Stegostoma tigrinum: one gene and its partners. The protein of the gene in region 2 purifies or fractionates together with the protein of the main gene of each other region. This does not show direct contact. Links are inferred from orthologs where the notes say so. Each region holds a gene or a part of one and is shown on either strand. Other genes may lie near its edges.

Region 1 (8,089 bases), on a different chromosome or scaffold from region 2:
ATAAACTCAAATTGCCATGGAGAGAACAAAACATGAACTTTGTCGTAACTTCTTTTTATAATTTCTGTAATTGAAATGGTACCAACTTTTGGTGACTTACACACATCTCACTGTATTTTCATAAATATCAGAAACAAATTGCTATTCTATTCTATTTTGCTAGTACTTCAAAGCCCTTGCCACTGTACCACTTGCTGTTGTAATTGCTTTCTGTACCTTTGAAAGAGCATTAACTTGAAATCTTAACACCGTTTTTCCCTCCCTACAAATGCTGTTAGATCCACTGAGTATTTCCAAAATTTCCAGTCTTTAAGTTCACATTTCCCACAATGCTGCCTTTGGATTAGACATTTATTTTTGAAGCCACTGTGATAAGGAATATAGTTTAGGAGCCGGAGTACAAGTGTGCACATCCAGCCATGGCAATTTATATCTGAACAGCTGCATCAGCCCTTATGATATTGTATCCTTCTACTTTTCTGGTCTTTACCTATTAACACTCCTAAAAGCCTGCCTATGCTTTGCAATACCAGCTCCAAGTTATGCCCAATAACTTTGTCCATAAATCAAACGCCAGCACAGGTAAATGAGTTCTGGATGCCGTTCTTCAAAAGGTAAAGCGCAACAAGAACAATAACAATGCATGGCCAAAAGTTCGAAACCCTACTTTTTCACCGTCAAGCCACGGGTTTGAATCTAGTCTCAGTGTCCTCTGTCTAACATCGGTGAAGTCCAAACAAAACGAGTTAGAAGTTTTCCATCTGCACACTACTCCTCAGAATTAAACTGTCAACAATTAATTACTAATAGCAGTAATTTGATAATCTCAGTCAGAAGGATCACAAAGATAAGCATTGGTCAGTGCGAAATGGGAATGTACATTGCTCCAGTGAGCATATTTTTCCAAGAGCTGGGATTTAGATCATTGGACCAATGTAGCAGGAGCTTACACGAGCCAATGAAGATATGTTTTGACTAGAAATACGAACACTGAGGATTATGGAGAAATAAAACAAAGTTTCATCTCCCAGCAACAACATTATCTGCCCCTTTTCAGGTCACTTGGCAGAGCTTTTATGTTTACTGTGCAACTACAAAAGCAATGTTAAAAGATAGATTATCCTCATGAATCTCAAGGAAACTGCAGCTAGCAACCCAAGAAAATTTTGCTCTTTATATTTCAGAAGGGGAATTGAAGGGGGAGAAGGGAGCAGCAAGGAGAAGTGAAGGTTTCAGAGTGAAACGATAAAGGAAGACTGAAAAATGACGAGTCTGGTATTCAGACAAATGAAGACTGTGGAAATGGGATGGCATGTGGTGCTTCATTTCTACAGAACTGGGAGCACCAGTGAAGGATAGTTTCCATCAAAATGGGTGGGCTCAAAACACGATCACTGAAAATACCAGGAAGGCAGACAGAAGGAAGGATTTTAAACAGAAGAGCTATTATGTTTCACAATACTTCACTACATACAGCTACTCAAGCAGAGATGAGAATAGGATTTAAAATGGAATTAGATCAGTCTAAAGAAAAACAAAATGTTCTGTTGAAAGGAGTTGCAGGAGTTCCAATGTCAAGTGTCAAATGGCCTCCTCCTGCTCTGCAAATTCTATAATTCTAAGAAAACTCACATACAGTGAGACTAAGCCCTGGGAACAAGCAAGAAACTGAATAATTTTGAACTCAAGAACACGGAATTTTAGTCGCAGTTTCGGTAAATTGAAAGATGGTTTGGAAAACCCTGTATTACCTACTCAGAAGAGTACAGCATGCCCAAAAGTATCAAATTCAAAGGACTGGGCACAAACTTTGACTGAGTTTGCACGTTATTATTGTTGGTCACTAACTGCTGTATTAGCTTTAAAATTACAAGCCAAGCAAGCTCTGACATACTTTGGTGGACGAGAGGTAAGGAAGGGTGGTAAAGAGAGCAGACTGTTTGAATTGTGGAAGAAAAAGGAAGAGAACCCACTAGCAGTCTGGTGTTTCCAGTGCAAAAGTCAGAATTTTGGTAACTTTAGTTTGATGGAAGAGATAGTCGAGAAGGAGACAAAGGATAAGTTTCTGAGCAAACATCAACAAGAACTTTAACTGCTTAGTCTCCTAAAATAGAAGAACTCAATTGCATCAAGTTTTGGATTGCATTATCAAAATGTTGTAAGCATCACTGTCTGTGAATTTCTAATGTCAACAAAACTGTTTAGAAAAGTCTAAGCTGCATGCCTCCTGTTAAAGTGTACACTAAAGCTATCAAGAATTAAGAAATCTGCAAAATGTTGATCTACGCAATCTCTTGGCATAGTTCAGGTCAGTCTGCGCCAACTAGTTGCAGTTTGTGCAAGTTCAAGTACACACTGGCTCAACTTGAACTTCCAGTTCAGAGCTGATGTTTGAACATTGCCTAGCTCAAATCAGAGCAGAAAGAGAACCACAGTAAAATAGCAAAGTACTTGCGTCTTGACTCAGAAAATCATCTATACTTTGAGTTGTAGGATTCTTGCTGGACCAATAGTGTGACTATCATTAGGTTTACAAGATTATTATCAAGGACATTAGGGTCAAGATAGGGCCCTGAGATCGTTTGCATACATTTAAGCAGACTGATGGCGCCTGGGTTTACACAGCTCCACTGACAATACTGCAGTGCATTGGTTTTTGTAGTCAAGCCTAGCAGCCGGAATTGAACTTGGAATTTTGCGATTGAGACGACAGTCACAACTGACACACCAAAAAAAATGTTTATTTAGCCAGATGCCTTAAACTGGTCATTTTTAAAGGACATGAAACGACACGAGTGATTTTTTTTGAGCAGGGTCAGAGGTAGCTTGCTCGGCCTGTTTGCTCTGCCTACCTCCGCCTGAACTGGTGTTTCCACACGGCGCTGTGGCCGTGACAAACCTCCTGCAGCTTCTTACAGGCCAGGCAGGCGCTCACCACATCCACATGGCTCAACGACGGGCAGCAGAATATCTGCTCCAGTACCTCCTCTGGCAACCTGATCAATCCTCCACTCTCCCCACAAACATCCAGCTCGGCCATTTTACTTGTTTACATCGGACACCCTGGGCCAAGCGACTTCCGCTTCCGGCCCCGCCTCCCGCGGGAAATTCAAATCCCTTCAGGCCTGCCTCCATGGGGCAGGGACATCCCCTTTCATGATAATGTGTCAGCAAGTGGAATAACATTTACTAGCACCGCACTGGTGTCAATGTGTGTACATGAATGTTTCAGCGAGTGTTAGAAATGTTAATCCTGCTTGAATTTATATGTTTTCCTATAACTGGGAAAAAATAAGTTACTCTATCGGAAAAAAAGTGTGAATCTCCAAACAACTCCCAGTTCCTCTGCCTCCACCAGGTCACAGGATGAGGCGTTCCACTCCTGCACATCCCAGATGTCTTCCTATTTCAAAGATTGTTACTTCCCCCGTCCATTGATCGAAAATGCCCTCAACTGCATCTCTTGCGCTTCCTGCACTTCAGCCCTCAAATTCCCCCCCAACTGAAATAAAGACAGAATCACCCTTGTCCTCACATATCATCCCATCAAACTCCGCATACAAAGTATTATTCTCCACCACTTCCACCACCTACAATCCTTGGCTCCACAACCAAAGAGATATTTCCCTCCCCGCCCCTATCTGCCTCTCTCCGTGACTCTCCACTAGCCCCACCATTCCCAGCACCTTTTCCTGCAACCACAGGAAGTGCTACACCTGCCCCTACACCTCCATCCAAGGCACAATGCAAACTTTCCACATTAGACAGGGGCTCACCTACACATCCGTCAACTTTGTCCACTGCATCTGCTGCTCCCGATGTGGCCTCCTCTACATCAGTGAGACTAAGCGCCGACTCGGACATCATTTTGTAGAGTATCTGCGCTCTGTTCGTGACAAATGACAACAACTTCCGGTTGCCAAGCATTTTAACTCCCACTCCCGTTCCCAGTCCCTGGGTGACATGTCCATCCTGGGCCTCCTCTAATGTCTCAATGACACTATTTGCAAACTGGAGAAACAGCACCTCATATTTTGCCTTGGGAGCCTACAGCCCAATGGCCTAAATGTGGATTTTACCAGTTTCTAAAGTTCCCCACCCCCAGCCTCATCGCATGTCCAATCCCCACTTCTTTGATCTGACACAATCTGTCCATCTTCCCTCTCACCTGCCCACTCCTCCCACCTCACTGATCAATCCCCACTACTGCCTACCTGCACTCACCTGTCACCATCCCAACTACCTTCACCCCACCCCTCCTCTATTTCTTAGCTCCCTACCCCTCCCCATTTCTGAAGAAAGGTCCTGACCTGAAGCATCAACTTTTTTGCTCCTCTGGTGCTGCCTAGCCTGCTGTATTCTTCCAACTCCACACTGTGTTACCTCTTTCTCCAGCAATTGCATTTCCCACCATCTCCAACAGACATTTGATTGTCTGTTCACTAGTCCTCGCCCCATCTTCTGCATAAATATCAACCTTTTCCAAGCTACCATCAATTCTGAAGAAGGGACACTGGACCTGAAACGTTAACTCTGATTTCTCTCCAGAGATGCTTCCAGCCTTGCTGAGCATTCCTAGCAATTTCTGGTTTGCTTTTGTTTCTCATTTCCAGCACCCACAATTCTTTATTTTTACTTGATTGTTTGGTCCTGGGATTACATACAAGCTCGTCGGTTTACAAATCCATATCAGTACTTTATTCTTCGCTTAAACATCAAAGAACATATTTGAAATATACAATGGGCTCTTGACCAGATGGAACAATGGGTGGTGGAGTTGAATTTAGATAAATGTGAAGTGCTGCATTTTGGAAAAGCAAATCAGGGTAGGGCTTATACACTTAATGGTAAGGTCCTGGGTAGTGTTACCGAACAAAGAGATTTTAGAATGCAGGTTCATAATTTCTTGAAAGTACAGTCGCAAGTAGATAGGATAGTGAAGAAGACATTTCATACATAGCCTTTAATGGTCAGTGCATTGAGTGTAGGAGTTGGGAGGTCATGTTGCTGCTATACAAGACATTGGTTAGGCAACTATTGGAATACTGTGTGCTGTTCTGGTCTCCCTCCTATAGGAAGGATGTGAAACTTGAAAGGGTTCAGAAAAAAATTACAAGGATGTTGCAGGGTTGGAGGGTTTGAGGTACAGGAAGAGGCTGAATGGGTTAGGGTTATTTTCTGTGGAGAGTGGGAGGCTGAGGTGACCTTATAGAGGTTCATAAAATCACAACCAACATGGACAGGGTAAATAGACTAGTCTCTTCCCCGGGATAGGGGAGTCCAAAACTAGAGGGCATAGATTTACAGCGAGAGGGTAAAGGTTTAAATGGGGAACCTCTTCACACAGAGGGTGGTTCTTGTATGGAATGAGCTGCCACAGGAAGTGGTGTAGGCTAGTACAATTACAACATTTAAAATGCATTTAGATGGGTACATGAGTCGAAGGGTTTTGGAGAGATATGGGCCAAATGTTCGCAATGGAACTAGATTTATTTAGGATAGCTGGTTAGCATGGACAAGTTGGACTGAAGTGTCTGTTTCCTGCTACATATCTCTATGGCTCTAATCTCTAATTTTCTAATTAGAGAATCTCTAATTCTATTTATGTGTAACTCAAGAAAATACGTAGAAAACCCATTCAGCCATTAACAATATTTTTATCTTTAAAATACAATGATCCCAATACTGTTTCTTTATTCAAAAGGCTGGCTCTTACTCCAATTTGTTTCTATTTTCTACAGTATTCCTGGACACACTGCTCCTTATCATCATACTGTAGGTGAAGTTGCTACATTTAAACTTACATCTTCTGCTACAGATTCAAAAGAATCCCATTTTAAAAATTTTTTCGGTAAACTCTACGATCGCTTCCTCAGTATAAATAATAAGATTCACATAGTCAATCATCACAAGTCTAACCACCTAATCTTCAATAAAAAAAATGAAAGGACAGTGCATGCTGTAAATCAGAGACAAAAACAGAAGTTGCTGATAAAGCTCAGCACATCTGGCAGCATCTGTGAAGAAAAACCCTTCCTTACACTGGACCCGAAGCATTGACTCTGATTTCTCTTCACAGATTCAGCTAGACCTGCTGAGCTGTCCCAGCAACTTCTGCTTTTTGTTTCACCCAATTCTCAACCTCATTACCAGTTTAACCGCCTTCCTCTGTTACCACACAAAAGGAATTTGAAAAGGTTCCTCAACAAATGCCTTTCATCTACTGTACATATTACATCATTAAAGAACACTAATACATTTGTCAAATATGATTTATTTTTCACAAAATAATGTTCACTCTACGTGAATATATGATAATTTTCTAAATATCCTGCTATTAATTCCTTAACAATGGACTCTAATGTTTTCCCAATGAGAGACGTTAAGCTGAAGTTTCCTGCATTATGACTCTCTCCTTTCTTAAGGCATTACATTTGTGGCTTACTCAGTATTTCTGTAGCCATTTCTTTTAAGACCAAAATCCTTTGGCATCAGAGATATGGGACTTGTCAGCCTTTAGTTGCATTGTTTTCCTGTTATTTTTCTTTATTGATCACGATTAATTTACATTCTTCCATTCCTTTGCCTCTTGATTTTCTACCATTATTAGATTATTTATTTGTACCTTCTATTGAAATTACACCCACAACGTTCTTGTTCCAAGTCTCCCATTTCTTTGTCACCAATTATTAATTCTAACTCTAACCCTTTCCCCCCATCCAAGCATCAATCTGCAACTTATGCCAGAAAACATAGCCAAAAATTAGTCATTTATTGAGCTTCTAAGACTCATCCTTTATGGGACTGAAATATTTATTTTCTTTAGTTACAATTTTCCTTTTTTACATACTTGATAGAAGCTTTTACTGTGTATTTTATATTTTTTTCTAGTTTTCTCTCATGTTCTAATGTCTGTATATTTTCATAGTCATTCTTTGGTGGTTTCTAAATGCTCTACAATCTAACTTACAAGGAATCTTCACAGCATGGTAAATCTTTTCTTTCAATTTAGTACCATCTATAATTTTCTGAGACATGGTGCATTCTACTCATAGTCTTTCTTTCTCAATGGAATACATCTTTCTTGGGAGCTATGAATTGTCTCCTTAATTGTTCAAATTGTTCAACTTAATCTCCACCAACACCCTATCAGACAACCAAAAGGATATATTAATGGGATTTTACACTATGTGAGAGGAAGTCTGTCATCTTTAGAATTCATATGAAGATCACCACCTCTTTGCCTTTTTCACATAATCCCCTTGAGTTCATTGTTACACGGACACCTGTGACTTGGTGATGTGGTATCCCACAGGGACTGTTGATATGACCTTTTCCCCACTAAGTGTCACTTTTAAGTCCTTCCTGTACCCTCATGTACACAGCCCAAAATTGGGCATTTATTAAACTTTTCAGAATAAGTACTCCCTGATGACTAAGGAGATTGCTTCCAAGTCCAGCTCAGTCTTAGATTCTCTGGAGACTTTCATACAATTCAACCAAGATCATTAAGATATGTATATTTACTTCCATGGGTATAACAGGATGAAAAAATCCTCAGAGACTGATCTCCTGGGGTCCTCAATGATATTATTAATTATATTTGTTAAGCTTAAAGCCACAGGCTGACATTTCTGGGTCAGATATTTATTTTAAGTGAGGCCAACATTCCATGGTAATGTTTTTAACCTCCTTTGTTTAGAATAAAAACAGAATAAAAACTTGTTAAGCTCTGAAGTCTATTTCAAGTGAGACTTATTTTTTGCAACAAACATATAGCAATTTGATGTGTTTTATTATAGTTAAGAGCACCAAATATTAAAACACTAAATATCTAGAACATCTTAGTTTTTAATCAACTTTCATTCTTAATTAGGCTAATTAAATAGCATATTATTAATTTTAAAGGATTTTTAAATCTGTCTCACAATGGGTATTTTTTTCTCAAATTCTTCCCAATGGACATGGCTTGACCTTGGCAAATTTCCATAAGTTGGCATCTGCAAGTGTACTGAAACATTGAGGCTTTTTTTAAAGTTTCACCCTTTTTAGGAAAGGTTTTCCAGAATGATTGTTCTGAAACTGATTA
Region 2 (7,041 bases):
GTTGATTGGGGCAAATGTTTATCGGCAAAGGGGCGGCTGGAGAATGGAGCTCCGTCAAAATCAGATAACCAGAGTCCAGAGACAGTATATTCCTGTTAGGGTGAAGGTCAAGGCTGGTAAGTATACGGAATTCTGGATGACTAGAGAAATCATGGTATTGGTCAAGAACAAGGTAACACATGTCAGGTATAGACAGCAGAGATCCAGTGAATGCTTAGAGTACAAAGGCAGTAGAAGTATACTTAAGGGGGAAATCAGGAGGGCAAAAAGGGGGCATGAGGTAGTTGCAGGTAGATGGGATAGTGAAGAAGACGTTTGGTATGCTTGCCTTTATAGGTCAGTGCATTGAGAAAAGGAGTTGGGAGGTCATGTTGTGCTGTACAAGATGTTAGTTAGGCCACTTTTGGAATACTGTATGCAATGCTGGTCTCAAAGAACAAAGAAAATTTACATTATAGGAACAGGCCCTTTGGCCCTCCAAGCCTGCACTGACATGCTATCCATCACAACCGAACACCCCTACCCTTCCAGGGACCATATCCCTCTATTCCCATGCTATTCATGTATTTGTCAAGATGCCCTTTAAAAGTCTCTGTAGTATCTTCTTCCACTACATCCCCCAGGAGTGAGCACCCACCACCCTCTGGAGAAAACTTGCCTCAGTTATCACCTTTAAACCTTGCCCCTCGCATTAAACCCATGCCCCATGGTAGCTGACTCTCCCACCCTGGGGAAAAAGCTTCTGACTGTCTGGTCTGTCCGTGCCCTTCATCATTTTGGAGACTTCTATCAGGTCGCCCCTCACACACACTCATTCCAGTGAGAACAATCCAAGTTTCTCCAACCTCTCCTCATAGCTGATGCCCACCATACCAGACAATATCCTGGTAAATCTGCTCTGTACTCTCTCCAAAGCCACCACATCCTTCTGGTAGTGTGGTGACCAGAATTGAACATAATCCAAATGCAACCTAACTAAGGTTCTATAAAGCTGCAACATTACCTGCCACTTTTTAAACTCAAAGCCCTGGCCGATGATGGCAAGCATGCCATATGTCTCGTTGTCTACCTTTTCCGCCTGCGTTGCCACTTTCAGTGAGGAATGATGGTGTGAAACTTGAAAGGGTTCAGAAAAGTTTTACAAGAATGTTATCAGGATTGGAGGTTTTGAGCTACAGGGAGAGGATGGATAGACTGGGGTGATTTTTTCCCTGGAACGTCAGGCTGAGGTGTGAGTGGCACGGATGGGGTAAATAGACAGACAAGATCTTTTTCCTAGGGTGAGGGGAGTGCGAAACTAGTGGGCACAGTCATAGAATCATACAGCATGGAATCAGTCACTTCAGACCAACCAGTTCATTCCAAGCATAATCCCAAACTACACTCGTCCCACCAGCTTGCTCCTGGCCTCTGAAACCCCATGATTCAAGAATTGACTTAAATATCTTTTAAATGTTGCAATTGTACTCGCATCCACCCCTTCCTCAGGAAGTTCATTTTGTATGCCAACTATCCTCTGTGTAAAAGAAAAAATTGCCTGTCTTTTTAAAATCTTTTCTCCTGCCTTAAAAATGTGTCCCCTAATGCTGAAATTCCACATCTGAGGGAAAAGACAACTACCATCAACTTTATACCTCATTATTTTATAAATTTTTATCACTAGCCCATTGGAGGTTCAGAGGTGACCTGGAAAAAAGTCCCAGCCTTTCTTTATAACTCAAACCTTCCATACCCAGCAGCATCCTGGTAAATCTCTTCTGAACCATCTCCAGCTTGTTAATATCCTTCCTGTAACTGGGCGCTTAGAACTGGACAGTATTCCAGAAGAGGCTTCACCAATGTCCTGTACAGGTTTAAGGAGAGTGGGTAAAGATTTAAAATGGACCTAAGGGGCAACATTTTTCATGCAGAGGGTGGTGCGTGGAAAGAATGAGTTGCCAGAGAAAGTGGTGGAGTTTGGTACAATTAGAACATTTAAAAGGCATCTGGATGGGTATGTGTAAAGGGATACTGGCAAATGGGTATAGATTTGTTTAGGATATCTGGTCAGCATGGATGACTTGGACTGAAAGGTTTGTTTCCATGCTGTAAGTCTCTCTCCGACTTTAAATCAGAGTTTGACTAAAGGGAATGTTGCTGATTGACAGGATGTGACAGTGGTGTCCTCCAGAAATCTGCTGAGTTCAGTTTTTCACCATATTTGATCGATTCAGGTGAAAAAATTGAAATTTGTATATTTAAGTCTGCAGATGAGACAAAGTCAGGAAGATCACAGCAGGCCAAGCAGGAAAGCTGATGTTTTGGGCCTAGACTCTTCCTACTACCTCAGAACAATGATAGGTGTGGTTAGGGAAAATATATTGCTTCTGGCTTTCACTGTGGGGAAGCCTTAGTCAAACCAGAACTATTCTGAAGCCATATCCATCTTGGGTCATTAACTCTGTTTCTTTCACCACAGATGCTGCCAAACTAGCTAAGTTTCTCCAGAACCATGTCTTTGCTTTAGAGTGGTGGAATGGCAAGTGATGTGGTGTGGTACATAATTCACAAATCACTATTTCTGGGGAGAAACTATTTCTTATGGTGGGGATCTAGAACAAGAAATCTATACCTTTTAAAATTACAGATAGGTCAGAACATGGCTTTAAGTTGAGGGGTGAGAGATGTGGGACAGATGTCAGAGGTAGTTTCTTTGCTCAGAGTAGTAAGGGAATGGAACGCTTTGCCTGCAGGGTAATAGATTCGCCAACTTTAGGTACATTTAAGTTGTCGTTCCATAAGCATATGGACATACATGGAATAGTGTAGGTTAGATGGGCTTGAGATCGGTATGACAGATTGGCACAACATCGAGGGCCGAAGTGCCTGTACTGTGCTGTAATGTTCTATGTCTAAGTGTGGGCGAAACGTGGAACTATTTTGTTCTAGGCTGTAAATGCTGGGTGTATTGAAGTAATCAAATTGGTATAGGCAGACTGTTGATAACAAAGTGTAGAGCTGGATGAGCATAGCGGGCTAAGCAGCATCAGAGAAGCAGGAAGGCTGACGTTTTGGGTCTTGACCCTTCAGAAAATGATTTTCTGAAGAAGGGTCAAGACCCAAAACGTCAGCCTTCCTGCTCCTCTGATGCTGTTTGGCCTGCTGTGTTCATCCAGCTCTATACCTTGTCATCTCAGATTTTCCAGCATCTGCAGTTCCTATTATGTCTCCGCAGACTGTTAGGTTAAATACGATATGGGTGACATGCGAGTATACAGGGTTGAGGTACAGACGACTTGTGATTTGATATTGGTGGATTAGGTTTGAATGGCTTCTGCCTCATTTAGAAGTTGATCCCATAGCAACAGCGTTTTTCGGTCTATTTCTTAAATAAGGAATTCGCAATTTGTTGCAAACACAACAACATACTTGGGGGACGTGACTAACCTCCCAGGGGCCCATCTTCACAGTTGGGTTACTCGAATCTTTCATATCAAATGTAATCCTGGAGACATCGAGAGGATTAAAAACCAGGAAAGGAAAAATGAGAATTAACGTTTCAGAATGGTTCTGAAGACGGGTCACATTATCTCTCCCATTATCCCAAAATTTAACTGATTGTTTTCCCTTCACAGACACTGCCAGACCTGCTGAGCTTTTCCAGCAACTTCTGTTATCATCAATTCTTCCAGTATTTAAAACCAGTAAAACCTTGCGTGGTCAGTACAAATGTGGCAAATGCCTTTTTAATATATATATTAATCTATCTCAAACTTAAATAGCTGAATATCTGATTTCATTTAAAAATTTAAAAAAAATTGAACCCTCTTACTGCACAAACCTCGTTGAGTTTTTTTTTGGGGGGGGGACCTGGTAGACAAAAACATTTCGCGTTTCTTAAGAAATAAAACAGTCGCCAGCAAAATTTTCCGGAAGCCCAGCTGCAATGAGATCGAATCCCTTCTGTGATGAACAGTTTGTTCCAACGATGTTATTTGTTTGTCGAGACTACCTCACGTGTTTGCCCTTTCGTCATTTTATTAAAACAAACTGAAGAGGAGCTTAGCTGAGCTGAGGGAGAGGCCCCGAGGATGTGGGCGAGCGGCGGAACTGTTGTTTAAGGAATTAGTTGCAGGCGGCGGGGCGGAACCTGTGGAGACGAGGCGCCGGGAGTCGGTTGAAAAATTAAATCGGAAGCAGAGTGGCGAAGCGGACGGAGCCGGTGAGGGGGACGATGGTGAGTGAAGTGGAGGCGGCGGCGGCTGGAAGGTGGGGTTGGAGGGAAAGAGCTCTGGGGTTCCCCCCGCCCCCCAACCATTGCCTCCCTGACTCATGGTGACTCGGGCCGTTTGCGGGAGGCCGCAGTCACCGCCATGTTGTTGGCAGAGCCCGAGGCCCAGGGACAGGCCTCTGGGATTTCCCCCCACCAAATCCCGACCTCACTCCTCAGTCAGTCGGCCCCAGCGGCTGAAACTTTTAGGTGATGGGGTCGGTGCTGTGTAGCAGGAGTTGGAAGCCTCTGTCTCCGTATGGGGAAGGTTTCTTTTTCGGCCGTGATGAATCTGAGAGCCGAGGCTCTAATCTAGGCCTGTCCCGAGAAGCCGGGCCTTGGGATTCCTTCTGTTTGTGGCGCACTGCAAAGAGGAGCTGATTAGTTTCCGCCTACGGCCGGCGACAGATTCTAGTCGTCCTCGCCGGCCAGTTTCCGCAAATAATCTGGGATCCCCCTTACCCCCACTCGGCTCCAGGGACCGAGGCCTCGATCTTCGTTTGATTCGACGCTTTGTGAGCAGCGCTCTGGATCCTAAACATTGCCCATAAATAAATTGCTGCAATGTTATCTAGTGGATTAAAAGCATCTGGGTTTCCGCATATAACCTACATTCTATCGTTTTATTTAAATAAACGAAATAAGTTGTCACGAAGTCTTGCACAGTTGCCAACTTAACTCGTCACGTTGTTATTTCTAAGACTTAAACGCTTCGTCTGTGTCAACAAAAGCACTGTTTAGAAGATTGCGTTGCACCAAAAATCACTTCCCGTAATTCAACCTAGTAGTTCTTAGTTTGCCGCTGTTTGTTTTATACAATGACGCACTGTGATTGCTTCTACCCCAATTGACATGCTTCAGTCAGTGGATATGAAACAAACATTGTTCTCTTCATAACTTGGTCTTGCCAGTGTTGTGGAAAAGAGCCTTAGTATAGTGTATATGTAAAATGTTACTGTTTAACAGTTTTGTGTACTGTCTTACAACTCTGTGATTTGTACTTTATGCATACTGTTGCTTTAAGCCTTTGTCTGATGTTTACAGACTTTAACCAAGAGATGGTATTTTTCTCAACAGCAGTTGAGGAAATGTCTCGGGGCCTCCCAGAGAGAAATGGAATGCCTTGTGTAGAGCTGGTGCCAAGTGGTTCATTGTGGCAGATTCAGTAATCTGACATCCAATTAGGGGGTCAGCGGTACTTATGCACTTACTTGGATCATTAACTAGCTAGTTGACAAATATATGGCTTTTGGAGGTGGACTCTGCAGTGGATGCTGGAATCCTGGAAAACTATGCTAATACGTTGCAACAAACACAAAAGCCCATCAGAGCAAGCAGTAGAAAGCAATGGAACTATTTTTGATTTTACCTGAAATGCCTTGCTTCGTAGAATTCAGTGCTCAGATTCTCCGAGATCAGATGATCGTGTATGTTATCTGTATGAGGCTGTGGAAACTCACCATACATCCATTTGAGTAGTTTAGCCTGCAGGTAATTAATCATTTTCTCCGGGTGTCAATAATTCTATCCTTTGGTTCAAATGCTCAAATTGGTATAGTTTAAATACCTGTTAGCATTGCATCATTTAAGATTGTGAGTGATTTGGAGGGCAATCTGTGGATGGTGGTGATCCATCTATCTGTCCTTATGCACCTGACAGATTTTGGATAGATCACTTGTTGCAGAAATTTTAGCCTATCATTGTCTCTATTTCTGTTTTCTTAATTTGTGGAATGTGGTAATCACTATCTGGCTAGCATTTGTTGCTCATCCAAATGCTGTCTTCAATGGCTGCAGCCCTTAGGGTAACTGGAGACCACTGAGTTTCGAAGGATGTTTCAGATTTTGACCCAGTGAGACGGGTGGTTTGTCATGACCCAAAAGCATAGGGATTTTGACAGTGTTAATATCATTGAATATAAGATAACAAAGTGTGAAGCTGGATGAACACAGCAGGCCAAGCAGCATCTCAGGAGCACAAAAGCTGACGTTTCAGGCCTAGACCCTTCTTCAGAGAGGGGTATGGGGAGAGGGTTCTGGAGTAAATAGGGGAAGGCAGAATGAAGATGGAGAGAAAAGGAGATAGGTAGGGAGTGGGATAGGTCAGTACAAGGAAGACGGACAGTTCAAGGAGGTGGGATGAGGTAGTAGGTAGGAAATGGAGGTGTGGCTTGAGTGGGAGGAAGGGATGGGTGAGAGGAAGAACAGGTTAGGGAAGCAGAGACAGGCTGGGCTGGTTTTGTGATGCAGTGGGGGGAGGGGAAGAACTGGGCTGGTTTTGGGATGCAGTGGGGGAAGGAGAGATTTTGAAGTTTGTGAAGTCCACATTGATACCAATGGGGCTGCAGGGTTCCCAAGCGGAATATGAGTTGCTGTTCCTGCAACCTTCGGCTGGCCACGTTGTGGCACTGCAGGAGGCCCATGATGGACATGTCGTCTGAGGAATGGGAGGGGGAGTTAAAATGGTTCACGACTGGGAGGTGCAGTGTTTTGAGTGTTGAGCAGATGACGATTCTGTCTTGTTGGAGATGGCCTTTACTTGCTCCTAGTTTGGCATGGGTGTCACTTTCCATCCAACTGTCGAAGCCTAAATGTTGTCTAGGCATTACACATGCGCAGTGACAGCTTCGTTATGCAGGAGTCATATATGTTGCTGAATGTTATGTAATCATCAGCATACACCCCTAAATCTGACCTTGTGAAGGGATGGACACTCATTCATGAAGCTGAAGATGTCTAGGCCTTGAAAGTCTTTCTTTGTGACTCATGTTTCAGGGTTGTAACTGTTGAGA
Region 3 (7,714 bases), on a different chromosome or scaffold from region 2:
AAAACTGTGACTAAAGCATCACTTACTCATTTCCCGAGATCCAATTTCCTTAAAATAAAAGCCAAGTTTCCATTAGCATTTTTGATTATTTTGTACCTTTTAGTAATGCAGCTTGCCAAACAGTTTATACAGTAGAAAACAACAAAGTGGCAAGAAACAAGACCAATAACAGACAGCAATTCCTTCGCCTCCGCCACATCTGCTCCCAGGATCAGGCATTCCACTCCCGTACATCCCAGATGTCCAAGTTCTTCAAGGACAGCAACTTTCCCCCAGCAGTGGTCGAGAACGCCCACAACCGAGTCTCCCGCATTTCCCACACCTCATCCCTCACACCCCGCCCCCGCAATAACCGCCCAAAGAGGATCCCCCTCGTTCTCACACACCACCCCACCAACCTCCACACACATCATCCTCCAACACTTCCGCCATCTACATTCCGACCCTACCACCCAAGACATTTTTCCATCCCCACCCTTGTCTGCCTTCCGGAGAGACCACTCTCTCCGTGACTCCCTTGTCCGCTCCACACTCCCCCCCAACTCCACCACACCCGGCACCTTCCCCTGCAACCGCAGGAAGTGCTGCACCTGCCCCCACACCACCTCCCTCACCCCTATCGCAGGCCCCAAGATGTCTTTCCACATCAAACAGATGTTCACCTGCACATCTGCCAATGTGGTATACTATATCCGCTGTACCCGTTGTGGCTTCCTCTACATTGGGGAAACCTAGCGGAGGCTTGGGGACTGCTTCACAGAACATCTACGCTTGGTTCGCAATAAACAACTGCACCTCCCAGTCGCAAACCATTTCAACTCCCCCTCCCATTCCTTAGATGGCATGTCCATCATGGGCCTCCTGCAGTACCATAATGATACCACCCAAAGGTTGCAGGAAAAGCAACTCATATTCCGCTTGGGAACCCTGCAGCCCAATGGTATCAATGTGGACTTCACAAGCTTCAAAATCTCCCCTTCCCACACCGCATCCCAAAACCAGCCCAGTTCGTCCCCTCCCACCACTGCATCCCAAAACCAGCCCAGCCCGTCCCCACCTCCCGAACCTGTTCTTCCTCTCACCTATCCCCTCCTTCCACCTCAAGCCGCACCTCTATTTCCTACCTAACCTCATCCTGCCTCCTTGACCTGTCCGTCCTCTCCAGACTGACCTATCCCCTCCCTACTTATACTCTCCTCTCCACCTATCTTCTCCTCTAACCATCTTCAGTCCACGTCCCCCTCTCTCCCTATTTATTTCAGAATCCTCTCCCCCATCCCCCTTTTCTGATGGAGGGCCTAGGCCCGAAACATCAGTTTTTGTGCTCCTACGATGCTGCTTGGCCCGCTGTGTTCATCCAGCTCCACACTTTGTTATCTCAAATTCTCCAGCATCTGCAGTTCCCATTATCTCTGATGGACAGCACAACCTGCTTGTTATCAATGCTTAATTCATCACATTAAACTACTTCCAGCACCAGGTGGAGACCTTTAACAACCCTACTGTTAGACAGCTTGAAAAATACATTGCAAACTCAACCCACAGGGTACTTCTTATAGTTCAAACAGACATAATGAAAATTTCATATGCCCATGACCAAGGATTACTGAAACCCTTTTACAATACCATAATGTACTGACACTTCAACAACCACACATTTCAAAATGTAACCCTACTGTAAAGACTTGGCTCCAAAAACCACACATGAACAGTGATCAAAACTAAGTGTTCCAAAGATAGAGTGCATAGATGCTGAGCTGGCTAACTGAAAACCAGCTTCTTGATCACCAATTCTAGTCTTTCACAACAACAAATCTGGAATAGGCAACCATATTATCTGTTTTAGTTACAACCACATTTTGAAATATTTTCTCAAGGTAAATTAAGATGTGTTTCGAAGTGCAGTTTTTGCAAGACTTCAGTCCTCATTTATTTGAAAAATCCCTTTCCCAGGATAATAGTAAGCATCAGTAGAACAGTACAGATTCAGTTTCACTGTTAAAACATGCAAAATTTGACCACTTATCTGAAGCAGTCAGGTTATGATGAAACAGAAAAGATCATGCCTCCCATTTTTTCCAATAACTTAAAAGACCAACAGAACCAAAATAAAGTCAAGATCTCCTGGCTATCTGTCAACAGCTCATTTTGAATTTTGTGTTCAAACCTGATGAGTTCAGCGATCTCACCACCCCTCCTTAACCAAATTACAGGTATAGGTAGTATGGTTTAATGTGCCCTCCTTATTGCTAATACAAACACCATCATATTTAGCACATTCCTTATTTAAAGCAGAGCACTGAGGTACAGTGCTGCTCCTCTTCCTTACTGAATGTATGCCATACGAAGATCACACTGGTTGTCTTGAATATGATGGGACATAAAGGCCACACAGTTACTACACCCACATTACGGAGTTCAAAGGACTCTGTCACCTGTGTTTATCCCTCATACAGATTGGGAAATCAGCCCTCTCTTTAATTCACTGCCCAGCAATTCTGGATCCAGTTCCACGTCTCGGTAAGTGGGTGCAGGAGGGCTCTCAATAAAGGTGTATTCCGACGTTACACCTGACCCTGGATCCAGATCTTCCAAGGCTACCAGCGGCGTGTGGCCAATTCCCACTCACTCCAGGGAGATTTCCCAATACAAAGGGCCGGATGCCGGCCCAAAGCGCCCTGGGCTCACGGTGAGCAGCCTGCGGAGCCCCATTTGCTTGGAGTCCGCTGTCTCTGCTACGGCCGGCAGTGGGGGCCCGGGATCAGCCTAAGGCCGGGCACCACCCTGCCCAGAGCTTTCCCCCTCCCGCTGGGTGGGGAAGGGGATGTACAAGAGGGAGCTGGCAGCCCATGCCGGGACCCAGCTATCCCCCGCCACTGGCTGTGCCGTGCCACGCCGGGGACCCTCGGACACTCACCGGACGAGCTCCCTTCCCCACCCTCGCCCGCCTTGTGCCGGCTCGGTGTGCACTCAAGGCCGCTGCTTGTGTGAGCGAAGCCCGTGGCTCTCACCACCTCCCGCTTTCAGTCGCTCCGATCCGCCATCTTCCGCCAGGAGCGACAGCGCCGCGGCGGCGCGCACGCACTCGGAGCGTCACAGCTGCTCACGTCTCCCCCCTGGCGGTAGCGTCACGCTGCGGCAGATTCAGCGCTTGCTGAGCCTAGATAGACAAGCTTGGTATGTACGCCTCCACCACATCCTTTCCTAGAGCTGCTAATGACCCTATTCACATCCCAGTCAATGCATCTCACACTATGTGAAATGGAAACAAGTGGCTCTTGAAGCCTGAGTTCAAGTCCCACCTGCTCCACGGGTGTGTGTCTGTGTGACAATATCTCTGAACAAGTTGTTTGGAAAATCTCCATAAAATAGAAATGAGCAACGTGTCATCGTGAACCACATTCGTCGAATTATGTTCCAGAGACAAATTCAAATCCCACTGGGGCATTTAAACTCAGTTCATTAAATAAATCTGGAATTACAAAAGACAGTGTAGGGGGGAAACCCATCAGGCTCTAAAACTGTTTCAGAGACAGTAGGAACAGCAGATGCTGGAGAATCTGAGATAACAAGGTGTAGACCTGGACGAACACAGCAGCCAAGACCTTCAGGCGTCGAGGCCCAAAACATCGGTCTTCCTGCTCCTCTGGTGCTGCTTGGCCTGCTGTGTTCATCCAACTCTACACCTTGTTATCTCAGGCTCTAAAACTGAGGTTTTTTTTATCTTGGGGGAGAATCTAGAACTACAGAGCACAATTTCAAAGCAAAGTTTTCCTTTTTCAGATAGAATTGAGAAGGAATTTCTTCTCCGACAGTCATTAGTTTCTGGAATTCAATGCTCCAGACAGCAGTAAAGGCCAAGTCAGTGAATATATTCAAGGTCAAACATAGGTGCTTGGAGTCAGGCCACAGGTCAGCCATGATCTCATTGCATGGTCCAACAGGCTCAAGAGGCTGAATAGTCTACTCCTGATCCTATGTTCCTGTGAACTTGACATCATCCTGACCAACTGTGCCTGGTGCACATCTATCTGTACAAGACATTATTCATAGGAATGGAGACCACATAATCTTTGTGGAGAAGAGTTTCATCACAATGTTGACAACATCTTCCTCTGTGTTGTGTTGCACCACCACTGTATTGAGTGGAACAGATTCAGAACAGAACTGACACTGTGGTCCATCAGCAGCAGGAGAATTGTATTCCATCACAGTATGAAACCTCATGGCCTGGCATACCTCTCCTTCCATCATTACCATCAAGGGACAAATTTTTTTTTAACGAAGAGTTTGGAAGAGCATGCCATAGCAGTATCAGGCATATCAAAATTAAAACAGTGAAGTTATCATACAGGAATATCATTCAGAAACATCCTGATCAGCTCGGAACTAAAATATCCCATGAACCCCTGCGGATTCAATCAAAGAATTGCAGTGTTGTCATAACTAACACTCCGTCTTCAGTAACGGGGGGAGCTCAGGATCATGTCAATGCAAAAGAAAAGGCTGGAGAGTTTGCAACCATCTTCAACAAAAAGTGCTGAATGGATGATTTATCAGGCCTCTTTCTGACGGCCTGATTGTTGAAGAAATCAATCTTTGAACAACTGAATGCACTCCAAGTAATATGAAAGAACAGTGTAGTGACCTGGGGAATTCATGTGGTACTGTTCTACTGATGTGATGATTAGCCTCTAAAAACCACATCTTCTATTGAATGAGAGATAATGGGAACTGCAGATGCTGGAGGATCCAAGATAACAAAGTGTGAAGCAGGATGAACACAGCAGGCCAAGCAGCATCTCAGGAGCTCCTGAGATGCTGCTTGGCCTGCTGTGTTCATCCAGCTTCACACTTTATCTTCTATTGAATGCACTGGATACAAAAAAGACTACAGGTCCCGGCAACATCCCAGCAGTAATACTGAAACCTGGTGGTCCAGAACTAACTGTACCCCCTAGCCAAACTGTCCTAATAGCACTAACGTAACAAAATGAAAAAGTATCTACTTATTCCTCATCCTGAAAAACCAGTTCTCTACCCCTGGAACAAGGGTCCTGGGTTCAAGTCCCACCTGCTCCAGATGTGTGTAATAACATCTCTGAACAGGTTGATTAGAAAAATTGGTGAAATAAAAAAAATTAAAAATTACAAAGCAACCAATTTTGGTCTCCCTGCTACAGGAAGAATGTTGTGAAACTTGAAAGGGTTTAGAAAAAATTACAAGGATGTTGCCAGGGTTGGAGGGTTTGAGTTACAAGGAGAGGTTAAATAAGTTGGAGCTATTTTCCCTGGAGCATTGGAGGCTGAGGGGTGATCTTAGAGAGGTTTATAAAATCATGAGGGACATGGATAGGGTGAAGAGGTAAGGTCTTTTCCCCAGAATGGGGGGAGTCCAAAACTAGAGGGCATAGGTTTAAGGTGAGAGGGGAAAGATTTAGAAGGGACCTAAGGGGCAACTTTTTTCACACAGAGGGTGGTGCGGGTATGGAATGAGCTGCCAGAGCAAGTGGTGGAGGTTGGTATAATTACAACATTTAAAAGATATCCAGATGGATATTTGATTAGTAAGGGCCTGGAGGGATATGGGCCAAATGCTAGAAAATGGGACTAGATTTATGTAGGATACTTGGTCAGCACAGATGAGTCAGACTGAGGGTCTGTTTCCATGCTGTACATCTCTATGAGTCTAATTACCATACAGTAGCCTCCTCTCATGATGAAAATGATGAAGGGGATCATAGACACTCCTGTCAAGTACTCACCATAACCTGTCCACTAATTCTTAGTTTAAGTTTTACCAGAGCCACCTGGCTCCAGACATCATTACAGCATGGGTCTGAACTTGGACAAAACAGCTGCAATTCAGAAAAGAAGCAGAAGTGATTGCCCTTGACATTAAGCAGTGTTTGACCAAGTGTGGCATCGTGTCCTTGAAAAACTCAGGAGGAATAGAATCATTGGGAAAACTCTCCATCAGCTGCAGTGATACTTAACACAAAGGTAGTTGTAGTTATTGGAGGCTCATCATTCCATCCATAGGACAATGCTGCAGAATTTCCCCAGGGCAGTGTACTAGACCAATTAGCTGCTTTATCATTGACCTTCTCGCCACCATATCAGAAGTGAAGATGTTCCTGGATGTTTGCCTTGATTCCAGTTCCATTTGCAATCACTCCCGCAGAGGGGCCAGTACAACATATGTACTCGGACTGATAAGTGGCGATTAGCACTTACAATGACTACCTTTAACAACCAGTGTCACTGCCATTGTCAAATATTCCACAGCAAATCACCAGTTCTGAAAAAGAGTCACCAAGTTCAAAATATTAACCCTGCTTTCTCCCCACACATGCTGTCAGACCTGCTGAGTTTCACCAGCAATTTCTTTTTTGTTACTGGGGGATCATCATTGACTAAGTTCCAGAGCTTAGGCCGGGATGATGCTGCTAGAATGCTGAGGCAAATGAATTGCATGATGCCTACGAGAGAAGAATTGGAGTTTTGTGGAGGGTTGTGGGTCTGGTGGTGTTATGCAGAGAGTGAGTATCAGGGCCATGGAGGAATTTAAACAAAATTATGGGAATTTTAAAATCACTGCACTGCAATGGCAAACTCTGTAGATGGTCAGTAGGGGTGTACAGATTCATAAAAGACTAAAGGACCCTTTAAAGCGTTGGCCAACAGGGTTAACTGCAGCATTTAGTGGGAAGTGGCCCACTCAATACACACAGACAAACCTCTCCGGACCCCATTAATGAACAAGTGATTGGTAAATAAACAGTACCTTGAAATAGTTTGAAGCTATCTGGTTTATGCTTTAAATTGTCAGCCACGCAAACATTGAGATGAAGAAGCTGCAATCTTTCTTTGTTAGCCATGTCATCTAGAAATCAAACTGATCTGCCTTGGTTCTTGTTTACTGTTCTCTCCCACTAAAATTGAATAATCATCTTGACAGACACAATCTCCTTAAACGGATTCAGATTCAACAAATTCAACTTTTAATAGAAAGTTTTCAACAATACCCAATACCAACACTTCTACAGTTTATTTGGGCCAGCATTTGGAAATTGCACCAGCAACTATTTTAATTAGAAAGAGTTGCAACCTATCCTGTTTTGGACTAAAAAGGTCCTCAAATTCCCAAAGTAGAAATTTGATACAAAATTCAACTACAGCAGGGGTATGAAATAGACTGTTGCAAAACAGTTACCTATTACATATTCATATATTATTCTTTCCATTGAAACCAACATGGGAGAAAATTGGACAGGGAGTTTAACAGACCACTAATCCCCGGTGCCTTTTCTTGCCTCTTGATTTTCCATTCATTAATTTTCCTTCGCAGCAAAGCAAACTGGGTAATAGATCTTAGATCACATTTTGCTAAACTGGTTTAATTTGGCAGATGACAGCTATCCATCATTGCTGCCCACACTAATCCTTCACTGTGTTACTTCAGGGATTATGATATGATATACTATGAGCATATTTTGTACAGTATCATTTATATATTGTATATTATCACAATGGTTATTTATAAATGGGATACATTTAATGTGGATTTTATGAAAAGTATCTATAATATCCAAATACAGAACATAGAACAATACAGCGCAGAACAGGCCCTTCGGCCCTCGATGTTGCACCGACCTGTGAACTAATCTAAGCCCCTCCCCCTACACTATCTCATCATCATCCATATGCTTAT

The links. Proteins that work in one complex are often made in the same cells at the same time.
Region 1: the proteins of cullin-1 (region 2) and fbxo21 purify together in Homo sapiens (affinity purification with mass spectrometry; 6 studies listed by BioGRID and IntAct, with this or other methods). This does not show direct contact. The link is inferred for Stegostoma tigrinum from reciprocal best matches to the Homo sapiens genes CUL1 and FBXO21.
Region 3: the proteins of cullin-1 (region 2) and fbxo42 purify together in Homo sapiens (affinity purification with mass spectrometry; 9 studies listed by BioGRID and IntAct, counting the BioPlex papers as one, with this or other methods). This does not show direct contact. The link is inferred for Stegostoma tigrinum from reciprocal best matches to the Homo sapiens genes CUL1 and FBXO42.

What each region holds. Positions count from the first base shown.
Region 1 is NC_081379.1:30,199,051-30,207,139, reverse strand, and holds the start of fbxo21 (F-box only protein 21), read right to left. Parts: upstream 3,063-8,089; 5' UTR 3,041-3,062; coding exon 2,853-3,040; intron 1-2,852. UniProt on the Homo sapiens protein: Substrate-recognition component of the SCF (SKP1-CUL1-F-box protein)-type E3 ubiquitin ligase complex.
Region 2 is NC_081355.1:98,233,531-98,240,571, reverse strand, and holds the start of cullin-1, read left to right. Parts: upstream 1-3,936; 5' UTR 3,937-4,216; intron 4,217-7,041. UniProt on the Homo sapiens protein: Core component of multiple cullin-RING-based SCF (SKP1-CUL1-F-box protein) E3 ubiquitin-protein ligase complexes, which mediate the ubiquitination of proteins involved in cell cycle progression, signal transduction and transcription.
Region 3 is NC_081381.1:31,101,441-31,109,154, reverse strand, and holds the start of fbxo42 (F-box only protein 42), read right to left. Parts: upstream 3,063-7,714; 5' UTR 2,918-3,062; intron 2,563-2,917; exon of another isoform or gene 2,436-2,562; intron 1-2,435. UniProt on the Homo sapiens protein: Substrate-recognition component of some SCF (SKP1-CUL1-F-box protein)-type E3 ubiquitin ligase complex. Specifically recognizes p53/TP53, promoting its ubiquitination and degradation.